3 linked regions of the Drosophila melanogaster genome follow. The protein of the gene in region 2 purifies or fractionates together with the protein of the main gene of each other region. This does not show direct contact. Each region holds a gene or a part of one and is shown on either strand. Other genes may lie near its edges. The genes, in order: CG14259, CG7423 and CG5157.

Region 1 (3,697 bases), on a different chromosome or scaffold from region 2:
TGACAAGGAGCTACTTGGGGATTATTCAGATTGTGATAAGAACTGCCGAAATGGAACCTGCGTCGAAGGAATTTGTACTTGTAGTAAACAATATAAGCTGCATAGGAATGAGGACGACAACAATTTGATCTGTCTTCCGATTTGCGAACCCGAGTGCCTCAATGGGCTCTGCGAATTTCCGGGTTCTTGTGTCTGCTGGGATGGTGAGAGTCCGATAGATGGATACTCATGCCAATCTATGGATTCACTTGGGTCCCTTACAGGCCATGAAAAGAGTGAAAGACACTTGAAGTGGGTATTTATAACGATTGTTTCTATGGCCTTCATCTTGGCAATAATAACCACCATGCTGATTATTTATATATTTAGGAAACGCTCATATCACGTGGACAAGAATGGTAAGCCATGTTTCAAACAGTTTTTGAATAACTTAATGATTTTTCTCGTTTTCAGAGAGGGAGTTCGGTGTATATTTCTCTCCCAATAAGGTTGATATCATTCGAGCCTGAGCTTTAGCGGGAAGTCAGCAATATTCTCATTATACAATAAAAGTTACTGATAAAATGAAAAATGGATATTCGTTAATGATTTTTATTACAAATATTGAAAGAATTTGGGGATGGCGTACTACAAGTTAACAATAATAGATATCACTCAACTATTCTTTTTTGCCAAGTATCTCCTTTGGACCATAAAGTTGCTGGGGCGTTGGTATGTCCTCAACGAAAAAGTTGGCTGGTATTAAATGAAAAACCGTAGACATTACATCATAAAGGATATTTTCCACCGTCTCAACGATGAGTGGTTTCAGGGCCTCGTAGAAATCCCGCCAGTTTTCATTGAAAAACTCATTCGTACTGCGCTCCACCTCCTTGCTACGTCCATTGAATAGATTGTCCAGATAAGTGCGCACTTTGGACAGATTCAGTTGAACCTGCACAGCGGTCACGTTGTCGAAGGTGAAGCCACCCTTTTCATACAGACGTATTTTTGTTAGTAGCAAAATGTCAAGATCATCTGCGGGAATTTAAAAGTGTTAGCTGCCCATTTGCACCCGCATTTAAATATCGATAGAAATCTAATTACCAATCTCAATAAATATTTTGCCAGAGCCACTCAGTGGTATAAGGAGTATTCGTCCAGCCATTTCATACCTTCCATCCAGTCTCATTTTCGGAAGATATATTTTGGTCTGCCAGCTAAAGTCTTTCTTGCTCACACTGGTGGTCGAAAAAAGATATTTATATATTTGTTCCGCAAAGTTGCAGAGATTTATTGACTCCAAAAGCAGCAGTATAAATATACATAATTTATCTGTAGGACTTTCATATTCTTTGTACTCACCGACTCTCCTTGACCTTTGTGTTGGCAAAACCCTTGACCACCAGGTCAGTCAGATTGGCTCTGATGGTGGCCACCTCGTTGTTATCCTGCTTGAAAACTATATCCCTAACTCTCATGGGATCAAAGGGACCGAACCGCTCGAGCACCTCTGGTATTCCAATGTTCAACTGATCAAGAAGCTTCTGAATGCTATTCGTAGAGCACTTGGTGAAGCCCGGTTCGTAGATCCGACAAGATGGCAGAAAGGCAGCTGAGCAACACGATTTGCTAACATTGAAAAGAACTGCGACTCTGAGGACATCTACTTACGTTTTTCGGAGTAGTAGGCAACGGCTGAAACCAACGACCTATCCATGGCGATTTCATTCAGGCACAAAATGGCCAATAATCCACTCCAAATGCCGAGCAAAGTGCGGCCGTAGCGCGTGCTGCTCATGGTGTCGTTTTGGCAACTGTTTATTAATCAAGTAGTTAAGTATCTAAGTAGCTCAGCGAATAGTACTGTAGACGTATCGCGGTCTAGGCAGCCGCTGCTCAGTCACATCAAACAGTGTCACGCTTTGAAACCGACTAGCCGGCGACTTGCTGTGATCCGGCGTTTTATTCTCAACTGCCAAGATTCGAGATTTGGGTTCTCATATATGGTAACGACTTACAGCAACCTAACGATGCCGGGGCCAAGAGCAACTCATGTTGCTGAATATAATATCATTTTAATTCACCTATTTCCTGACTTAATAGCGAGTATACAGTGAGAAAAGTATCTAAAGATGAAAATATAATAGAAGCACTTTGAATGCAAAGATATGAAAATAATTTGTAATATAATTCTAATACAGTGCCACCAAAAAATAAATCAAGCATACACTACTACCCATTTAATACAAAACGACAGAGCACACGAACCCATTAAAATAACATAGAAGTACCGGATTATATGCTAATTTAGCATTTAGTGAAAGTCTTTAATCAAATAGGTAGCTGGTACATAGACAAAGGTCTTCTTGAACCGATCCAAAAGCACTCCGCCAACTGTTTGCTCCACCGCCGGACGCAGTACCTCAAAGAAGTCGCGCCAGTTTTCGTTGAACAAAATGTGTGCAGTATCCTCCAGATCCTTGTTGCCGCCAAAGAGATTTTCCAGCTTGATGCGGAATTGCTTGATCTCGCGGAAATTTACCTTTACACTTTGCACATCAGCGAAATAACCATCTGAGGTGGCCAGCGGTTTGACAGCCAATTCCAACAATAACAGAGCATTTTCTGAATAAAACCGGCTTTAAGATAGTAATTCGCATAAATTGTAGATTGCATCTTACCAGCTTCGAAGTATCCCTTGCCATGACCATTGAGATTCAGCGCTGAGACGTGTCCTTTGACTTTGTAATCGAAATTGAAACGCAACTTGGGCACGGAAATCAAAGTCCTGGCTACATAGTGATTTGGATCCCAGCTGAGAATTTTTAATGGTCAAACTTGATTTCGTCAGAATCTTTAAATAGGTTACCTGGATTCCAAGACTAATGCTTGACCAGCACCTGCTACATAGACTTCCTTCAGATCGGCATTGATAGCTATAGACCTGCTGGCATCCTGGGTAAATTTCACTCTCTTGATGTAAAAAGGATCAAAGGATCCCACGGCATTGTAGCCGGGAATTCCGTCCTTCCACTGACGGAAGAAACTCTGGAAGTTTTTGGTCAGACAGACATTAAAGTTGGGATCGCCCACGATACATGGGATTAGGAAGTCGGCTGAAAGTTGTACATTTAAGAATATTATTAACTTAACTCAACCAAAATATGTTGTATTAAATGTTTATTACGTTTCTCTGCCAGATATTTAGCTCCTTCGACTGCTGAAAGGAGTACGGCTACAATACTCAGGAACTTGGCAACTTTAATAAGCATCTTGATAATTTTATTCCAAAATGTGATGACTAGAACCGTTTTCTTTGAATGCTCTGATTGAAATGACGATTCTGTCTGGCCGCCGGTAATTTTATTCGAAATGGACCGCTCGAATGTATAACTTTTAAAATCATTTCTTTGTTTTGCCGATTTATATATATTTATTTTATTTATTTCGGTACAATTAGTAAGTAAACGAGTTTGGCCGCATTAGACTTGTTGTGGTCGTACAGGGTGCCCAAATCTTTCGATTCATCTGATGCGATACCCTAGCTCGAAAATGCATTAATTTTTATAATATTACTTAGCCTTTGCCTCGCCGGCGACTCCATTTCCAGTTGTAAAGTACTGTCATAATACATATATCTAGATACTTAGACATATATTCTATTCTATATATTCTATCTCACTTTCGCTGGAGCCGAACTGGTTCTACAAGATCA
Region 2 (3,022 bases):
GTGGTGGCCATGGAGGAGGTGGTGGCTACGGCGGTGGTGGCTACGGCGGTGGTGGCTACGGCGGCGGTGGCCACGGAGGCGGCAGCACGATTAAGATCATCAAGGTGATCACCGATTCCGGAGCTGGTGGTGGTGGCTACGGAGGTGGCTACGGGGGTGGCCATGGAGGTGGCTATGGAGGTGGCTACGGAGGCGGCTCCTCCGGTGGTTACAGTGGCGGCCACGGAGGCGGTTGGTCATCCGGCGGTGGATACGGCGGTGGTGGCTACGGAAGCGGTGGCAACGTCAAGATCATCAAGGTCATCTCCGACGCCGGATCGAGCGGCGGGTATGGCGGCGGCTACGGCGGTGGTCACGGTGGTGGATACTCCTCCGGCGGTGCCTCCAGCTACTCCGCCGGCGGTTGGGCTCCTCAGGGCGGTTGGGCCCAGAGCAGTTGGTAAATGCTCTCCGTTGGTCAACGGATACTAACTTGTTACTGTTTCTCACTGACCTTAATTGTAAATACTTCCCAACATTAACCAATAAAACAGTGCGGTATAGAAGAGCCATTTCCACTATCAAAACAGAAACTAATGTTTCTTTTTTAGTAATAATCCGATATAGAGATTCTCGATATAAATCCACCTTGTAATTCCAAGAAAATTCGTTTTCAAGATTGTAAGAGCTGCTGATGCATCGCTTACAATCAGTCAGCTAGCAAATGAACCTATCAAAAGGTTACACTAAAAATTTGCAAAATGTACAATAGGTGGATCTCCCATATATGATGCCCTGTCAGGAGTTACGAGGACATCCCCAAGGACCTCAGTCCCGCGCCAGGAGCCGTCTAATGTCCTCCTGCTCGGCGGCCTCCGCGTAGCTCTGCCCCTCGGGCGTGCGCTCCGTGCGGCTGGCTCCCATCCGGAGCAGGAACTCGACGCAGCGTGTATGCCCCTCCCATATGGCCGCCAGGAGCGGTGTGATGCCGTACTTGTCCTTCCTGTCCACCTCCGCGCCGATCCGCACAAAGAACTCCAGCAGCTTCAGCTGGCCAAAGTCGGCGGCGTAGTGCAAGGGGAACCGGACGCCCATCTGATCGTTCACATTAAGCGATCCGGCTAGGAAAATTCGCTCCACCTCGTCGTACACGCCGTTCTTGATTGTCCAGATGATGTCCTCGATTTTGTGTCCATCGCCCATCGTGATCCGTTTGACTCAGTTTTTATCCGTATTTTAAGCAATGCGATTCATAAAATCTAATGATTTCAATAGTAGTACGTACGTATGCTCAATTCTAAAGTTGACGTGCTGGGTTACTTTGATGTTTGTGTTCCTAAACAAAAGTGCCCTTTTACATCGTTAAAGCTGCGTTCGGCAAGCAATTAGAGGCATTAAAAGTTTGCCGTTTGTAGGTGCTTTTAAAACTATAACAACATACATCCCATTGAATCTGTCAAAGTTTTCTATGACCTCGTCCCGTCGTCATAAAATTGTCCCCCATTTTATTTATCGATGGTAACCCACAGAATTTGACAGTTGTCAGGTGCTGCCGTTGTTGGCAATGTTTTATATTTGTGTTTTTTCATTCGGGCTTTGGTTTTTTGTGTTGTGTTAACCCTTCGTTAACCCCATACGCATGTCGGGCCATCTGTCCCCGTCCTCCAGTCAGTGTTCATGGTACATATAGCCCGCCACCGCCCACCAAATGGTAGGGCTTCCTACGCGCCAGACGCAATTTGTATGCAAATTTCCATGAGAATCTCAACACATGCAATAACAGCAACAACACAAAGGACACACGAGCAGCAGCAGCAGCGGCAGTGGCAACAAAAAATTGACTGAGCGTGAATGCAGAGCGGGGGGTTTTGGCAACCAATTGGTTACAAATACATAATAAGAAACGGACAGATATAAAATGGCAGAGAATGGGGTATGAGTATCGGGATGGGCAAAGATTACCATTCCGAAAGTGAAACGTTAAAAAGTGTCCAACAAGTTGAAATCTTAAGGAGAGCGCACTTTAACAGCAACCGAGTTTAGGTAGTTGAAGTTTGAGATACCAGCGGTTCCTAGAAATAGGATATAGCAAATTCAACGGAGTGGACCCAGGACGTAAATGCTTTGAAAAGCGCATAGAAGAGCGTATATTAAGCGGAGATTAAAGACGAAATAGTTTACGTTTAAGATACCATATACGGTTATTACTAAAATTAGTGGATTGTATCTATAAGGCGAAAAAATTGAGAAGCGCATAGAAGGACGAGTTTAAATATAAGGTAAGCTGAATTCAAAGAATGTAGTTGAAGTTTAATATATCATATGTTATAACAAATGGAACTTAGCAAATTAAAGGGCTTGTATCTATAACGTGAACACAATGAGAAGCGCATAGAAGGGCGCATTTTAAGCGGATGTTAGCCGAAACAACTACTTAAATTGGGGCGTGGCAGCCACACACACTCTAAGGCTTAGTATAATAATACTCAAGTAGCGGGTGCCGGAAATAAAAATAAAAATAAAATTAACTTCAATTGTTCTGCTGCTCGCACTTAGATAGTGCGGTATGCGAAAACAGAACTCGTAGGAATGGAATGGGGTTTTCTGGATGGGGAAATCGTGGTGACGGTTAGAGGTTGGGGGTAAGGCGGGGCGCTTACCGAAGGCACTTTCTATGCAAATTTTTATGTGTTAAATGCATTTTGTTGGATTTAACATTCTCGCTGATTTTTTGGTTTACATTTTTGCATATAAATGAGGGCAAACTTTGCTTCGCCCGGGCTAGAGAAAGCCCAGAAAAAGGGGCGCGGCTCACACACACAGTCACACAAATTAGAGGATTAAGTAGCTTGAGTCCTGCTGCTGTTCCTCCTTTCTCTTCTCCCCCCTCTATCCTATCCACTTTCTCCTTTCTCCTTGGCCCTTTTGTCTCAGAAGAAGCAGAAGCCGAAGCAACAGCAGCGGCGAGACAATTACGCTAATTCGCCTGAAATTGTTTTGCATTTTCAACACCCACCCACCAAGCAGCACCCACTTTCGTGGC
Region 3 (4,053 bases), on a different chromosome or scaffold from region 2:
GGAAAAAGGAAACCGGGGTTTTGTTATCATCCAGCAGTCATAATAACAACTAGTCACAAGATATCTTTAGCGTTCGGAATTCTAATAGCCTTGTCATAAAAATGACCGATCTTATAACTATCTTAGGAACACACCTATTCATTAAATTAGTGCCCAGACTTTTCACTAATTAGATACCAAACTTATTTTAGTTATGCTTTAATTTTTTCATTTTTTATAACTTTCTGTAATCTTTCCAGGTTTTCAATTTGCCAGCACCTGGGCAACGGAGTTCTCCGTTCCGACTCCGCCAAATCGCTGGACTTCGAGCCCGCCCTGCGCTCCATATGCCGCAGCGAAAAGGAACGGGCAGGACTGGAACGGAAGTCGAGTAGATTCTATCACTATCTGCGCAACCACACGGTAAACGTGACCAGTTTCACGACGGATTACTTTGACACTGCATGCAGTACGTTCCAATCGGCTGCCCCCAGCAGCGAGCCAACCATGGAGGCCGAACCGAAAGATTAGGCATCGTTTGGATTTAGTTTAATTTTTTTGAAATTGGTGGAGCAGCTCCGCCGGCTTTGTTTGCAATTTATTCAGATCGTTTAAGAAGAGTTGATCTTTTTTAAGATAGCTTTGTGGACATGAAGATGTAGCTATTATGAGATAAACCTAGAACTATTTACAATTTAACTATGATAAACTAACTACGACCTCATCCTATGTTAATAAATCAATCAAATGACATGTAAACCTATGACTAGCAGCAACAGAAACCGGAGGAGCTATTCTTCGCGGGTTCGGGATCTTCGGATATTGTGTTTGCCGTCGGCTTTGCTGCACCATTGGACGTTGGCTGCACTTGAATGGGTGCAGCTGAGTTGATTTCTCCGATTTTGTAGTTCTTTAGATCCTTTTCTGCGTCGGAGGAATGGCCTGCCTGCTTGAAGGCCTTGGTGGCATCCTTGCCGCCATATTCGAGTAGTGCTTCACTGCCGCCAGGATGCTCGCCGAGGAACTTGGTTACATCGTACACGTTCCCCTTGATGATCAGCCAGCAGGGTTTGCCATTCTTGCCGTTCTGCTGGGCCACCTCCGAGAGTTCGTACAACTGTGACATATTGCTGATTTGATTTCCTAATTGCTTTCCGCTGTTCGCGAATGTCTTTTAATGGCTGCTGTTAATTTGCGTTTAATAAGTCGCGCTCTTGATTCGATAATTTTAGGAGCTGTTAACCGTTGGACGGACTCGGAAACACTGGACGCGTGCCAAGGGGCGACCCTTGCTTATGTTTAACATTTATCAATAGTTCAAACAATCGCCTAGATCGCTTGTACTTGCCTTGTACCTGTTCTCCCCCATTTCCCCCTCGACGGGCAATTACTATTTGCTGTTTTATTTCAGTTATTTCCACAATCTGTCTGCATTGTGGTTGATAAGAAATACGTGAGAATTTCACCGTCTTTCAAGGCGACCTGCTACTAGTGTGGGCAGTGACCAATCTCCTTTTTTTGGGTGGGATTTGTGCAAATCATTAATGCAAATGGATGGCGCGAGTTGTCATTGAGTGGGTTTCTATCGTTGGTGAAATCTAAGCACAGTTTATGATTCACTTGAACACTTCCCGTTGAGTAATTTATGGTGGGAATTTTCTTTGAGTTAGTTATGTCCATTAACTTCGACACCATTTATTGATAACTGGAACATTGCAGGGTTCATATCGTACAATCAGTCAAACCCAAAATGCAATAATGTGTGTCAAGTGCCAATCAAAGCTAAAAGTTTCCAGTTGACAACAAATTTGGTTGCTTAAAGAAAAAACGGTTTTTATGTTTTCATAGTTATGTTCTATATATTTTGGAAATATATTTTAAATTTGCTTTCATTTTTCCCATTTTTGTTTTTTTGCTTTTAATGCTTTTGCGTTTTATATGAGACAACAACAATAATTGGTATTCAATTAATATATATATGTATTTAGATATATATCGATTTTTATTCCGATTTTTGTATATTAGACGTTTTGCATAATGCGCTTTAAAAAATTTCGCTAGTATTGGGTGCACTTTGCCTGCAGGGATCAAAAATCAAATTCGATTTTCTGGGAAGTGGGAGATGGTAGATGGGATGATTTTGATCTCGGATGGTTTCGAAAAGTTGTTGAGAAACTGTTTGGGATTGGGTGTGGTTACATTAACATAATGCTCCGCAGCGCATTGTCCTGCATTCGGTGTATTTACAAATGAATCTCTATACTTTTCTTGTTATTTACTTTATTTATTTAGCTTTTGTTATATATATATTTATATATATCAGTCGACGGTTTTGCATTTTCGAAACGCAGCTCGTGTGCGCTTTCATTTGTATTCTCGATCTAAACGTACAGATACAATATAGTAATAAATATCGTATATATAAAGTGTAAAATTAATTACTTGTCAATGATTGTTGATTTATTGAATTAATCGATCTGCTTGAATTTAAAAAAATCGTAATTCAATCAATTGATTTACTATAATTTAATCGATTTGTTTCATTTCATTTGATTTACTTAGTTTCCGTTTAGTTTCGCTAAACATAATTCGTAGACTTGATCTTCGTTTAGAATTTAATTTTTAATTTAAAAAACAGTTTTGGAGGTAGTTGAAATTAGGCCTGTTTGTATAAATGTGTATATGATTCTCCGATCAAACGAGTTTAATCGCTTCGATATTTAGCTGGACTTAATTTGTTTAGAACTAATTAAGTGATTAAATTCTACGCGTTTAATTTAGTTATTCATTGTCTCCGGTTTTCTCTTCGTTCTGTGATATTTCGGGCTATTTCCGGTTGCATTACTTTAAGTATTCTTTGATCCATAGACATCGAACTATATCGTTATGTATTTAAAATGTAGGCTTGTAGGACTTGTTGGCGTAGTAAAGTGTTTTCGTTTTCCATTATTTTGCATTTGTTATCATATTTTCCTAGTTTCTCGCATTCCATTTCTCATCTAAATTGTTGGTTAAATGTGTTTTAAACTTGATTTAATGGATCGTGAGTTCTTGAAACCATTTTTTGTTTTTCCTTCTCTTTGATAATTTCAATATAAAATGTTTGGGGCAACAAGGTGCACGGGTTGTTTGAAAAATTACGCATTTTTGGAATTTCAGAAATTCGTGAAATTATAGACTAATAAATAAGGCTGGATATCTAAACAATAAAAGCTCTGAGTTGCTTAATTGTGCTTATAATATACATTGCAATGGGACTTTTTCTTAACTCTTTGATTTTCCTAAACTCAGAACGTAAAAATATAATGCCAATCTAATTTTAAATAAACCGCCAAAACTCGACCAGAGTTACACTTGAAAATGCACGATCGCCCGTTGTTGCCAGACTGCAATTGGTTATCGATAACTTCAGTTTCATCGATCGTTACGTTTTAAATTTAAAATTCAAAATGTATCCCGCTAAAATCCGAAATCAAGATTAGCTGCAGCCAATTTAAAATGAAAACAATAATTTCTCTACAATTTGGTTTACATAGATTTCATTTCATTTTTTGTTTTTTTTTTTCTTTACATCGTAATTCCGTTAGCAAATATACAAATACAAATTTCAATTGAACTAAAAATTGTTTGTTTGTGTGTGTTTTCGTGTGTTCCAGCACATGGGCCTTGCGTACAATAATAATAGGGGATAAGGGGATTTGGATAGGGGGGTGGGGGTGGGGGATAGAGTATAGTTAAGAGTTGGTTGGCTTCGATTTAAAACTAGAGTTATTGAAACTAAAGTGTATACAATATTCATTCATAAAATTACAATTACATATTCACTTATGTGTTGTTATTTACTTTCCTCATTCCCTTTCTTCAGTTTTTATGGTATTGTGTCTGTCTCTTTCAAGTTTGTTGCTTTCTTGGTTTTTACAAAAACGTTCTCGACTTATTACTTTTATCAAGCGACGAATGGAAATAATGTTACATAACTTAAAAATGAACCTTCTACGGTCTGTGGTGAGTGCTTAAAAGGCGGCAGCGCAACTATACATATGTCTTCTCCGTATCATTCTCTAACTTTTCTTT

The links.
Region 1: the proteins of CG7423 (region 2) and CG14259 purify together in Drosophila melanogaster (affinity purification with mass spectrometry, with the first as the bait; one large-scale study listed by BioGRID). This does not show direct contact.
Region 3: the proteins of CG7423 (region 2) and CG5157 purify together in Drosophila melanogaster (affinity purification with mass spectrometry, with the first as the bait; one large-scale study listed by BioGRID). This does not show direct contact.

What each region holds. Positions count from the first base shown.
Region 1 is NT_033777.3:27,092,736-27,096,432, reverse strand, and holds CG14259 (uncharacterized protein), read right to left. Parts: upstream 1,901-3,697; 5' UTR 1,781-1,900; coding exon 1,654-1,780; intron 1,595-1,653; coding exon 1,345-1,594; intron 1,221-1,344; coding exon 1,087-1,220; intron 1,018-1,086; coding exon 659-1,017; 3' UTR 577-658; downstream 1-576. Other genes in the region: eater, read left to right, coding at 1-398, 454-509; CG14258 (uncharacterized protein), read right to left, coding at 2,297-2,607, 2,664-2,797, 2,852-3,098, 3,170-3,254.
Region 2 is NC_004354.4:19,081,998-19,085,019, forward strand, and holds CG7423 (uncharacterized protein), read right to left. Parts: upstream 1,294-3,022; 5' UTR 1,183-1,293; coding exon 808-1,182; 3' UTR 612-807; downstream 1-611. Other genes in the region: CG14191 (uncharacterized protein), read left to right, coding at 1-443.
Region 3 is NT_037436.4:16,135,957-16,140,009, forward strand, and holds CG5157 (uncharacterized protein), read right to left. Parts: upstream 1,924-4,053; 5' UTR 1,106-1,923; coding exon 746-1,105; 3' UTR 531-745; downstream 1-530. Other genes in the region: elg1 (enhanced level of genomic instability 1), read left to right, coding at 240-510.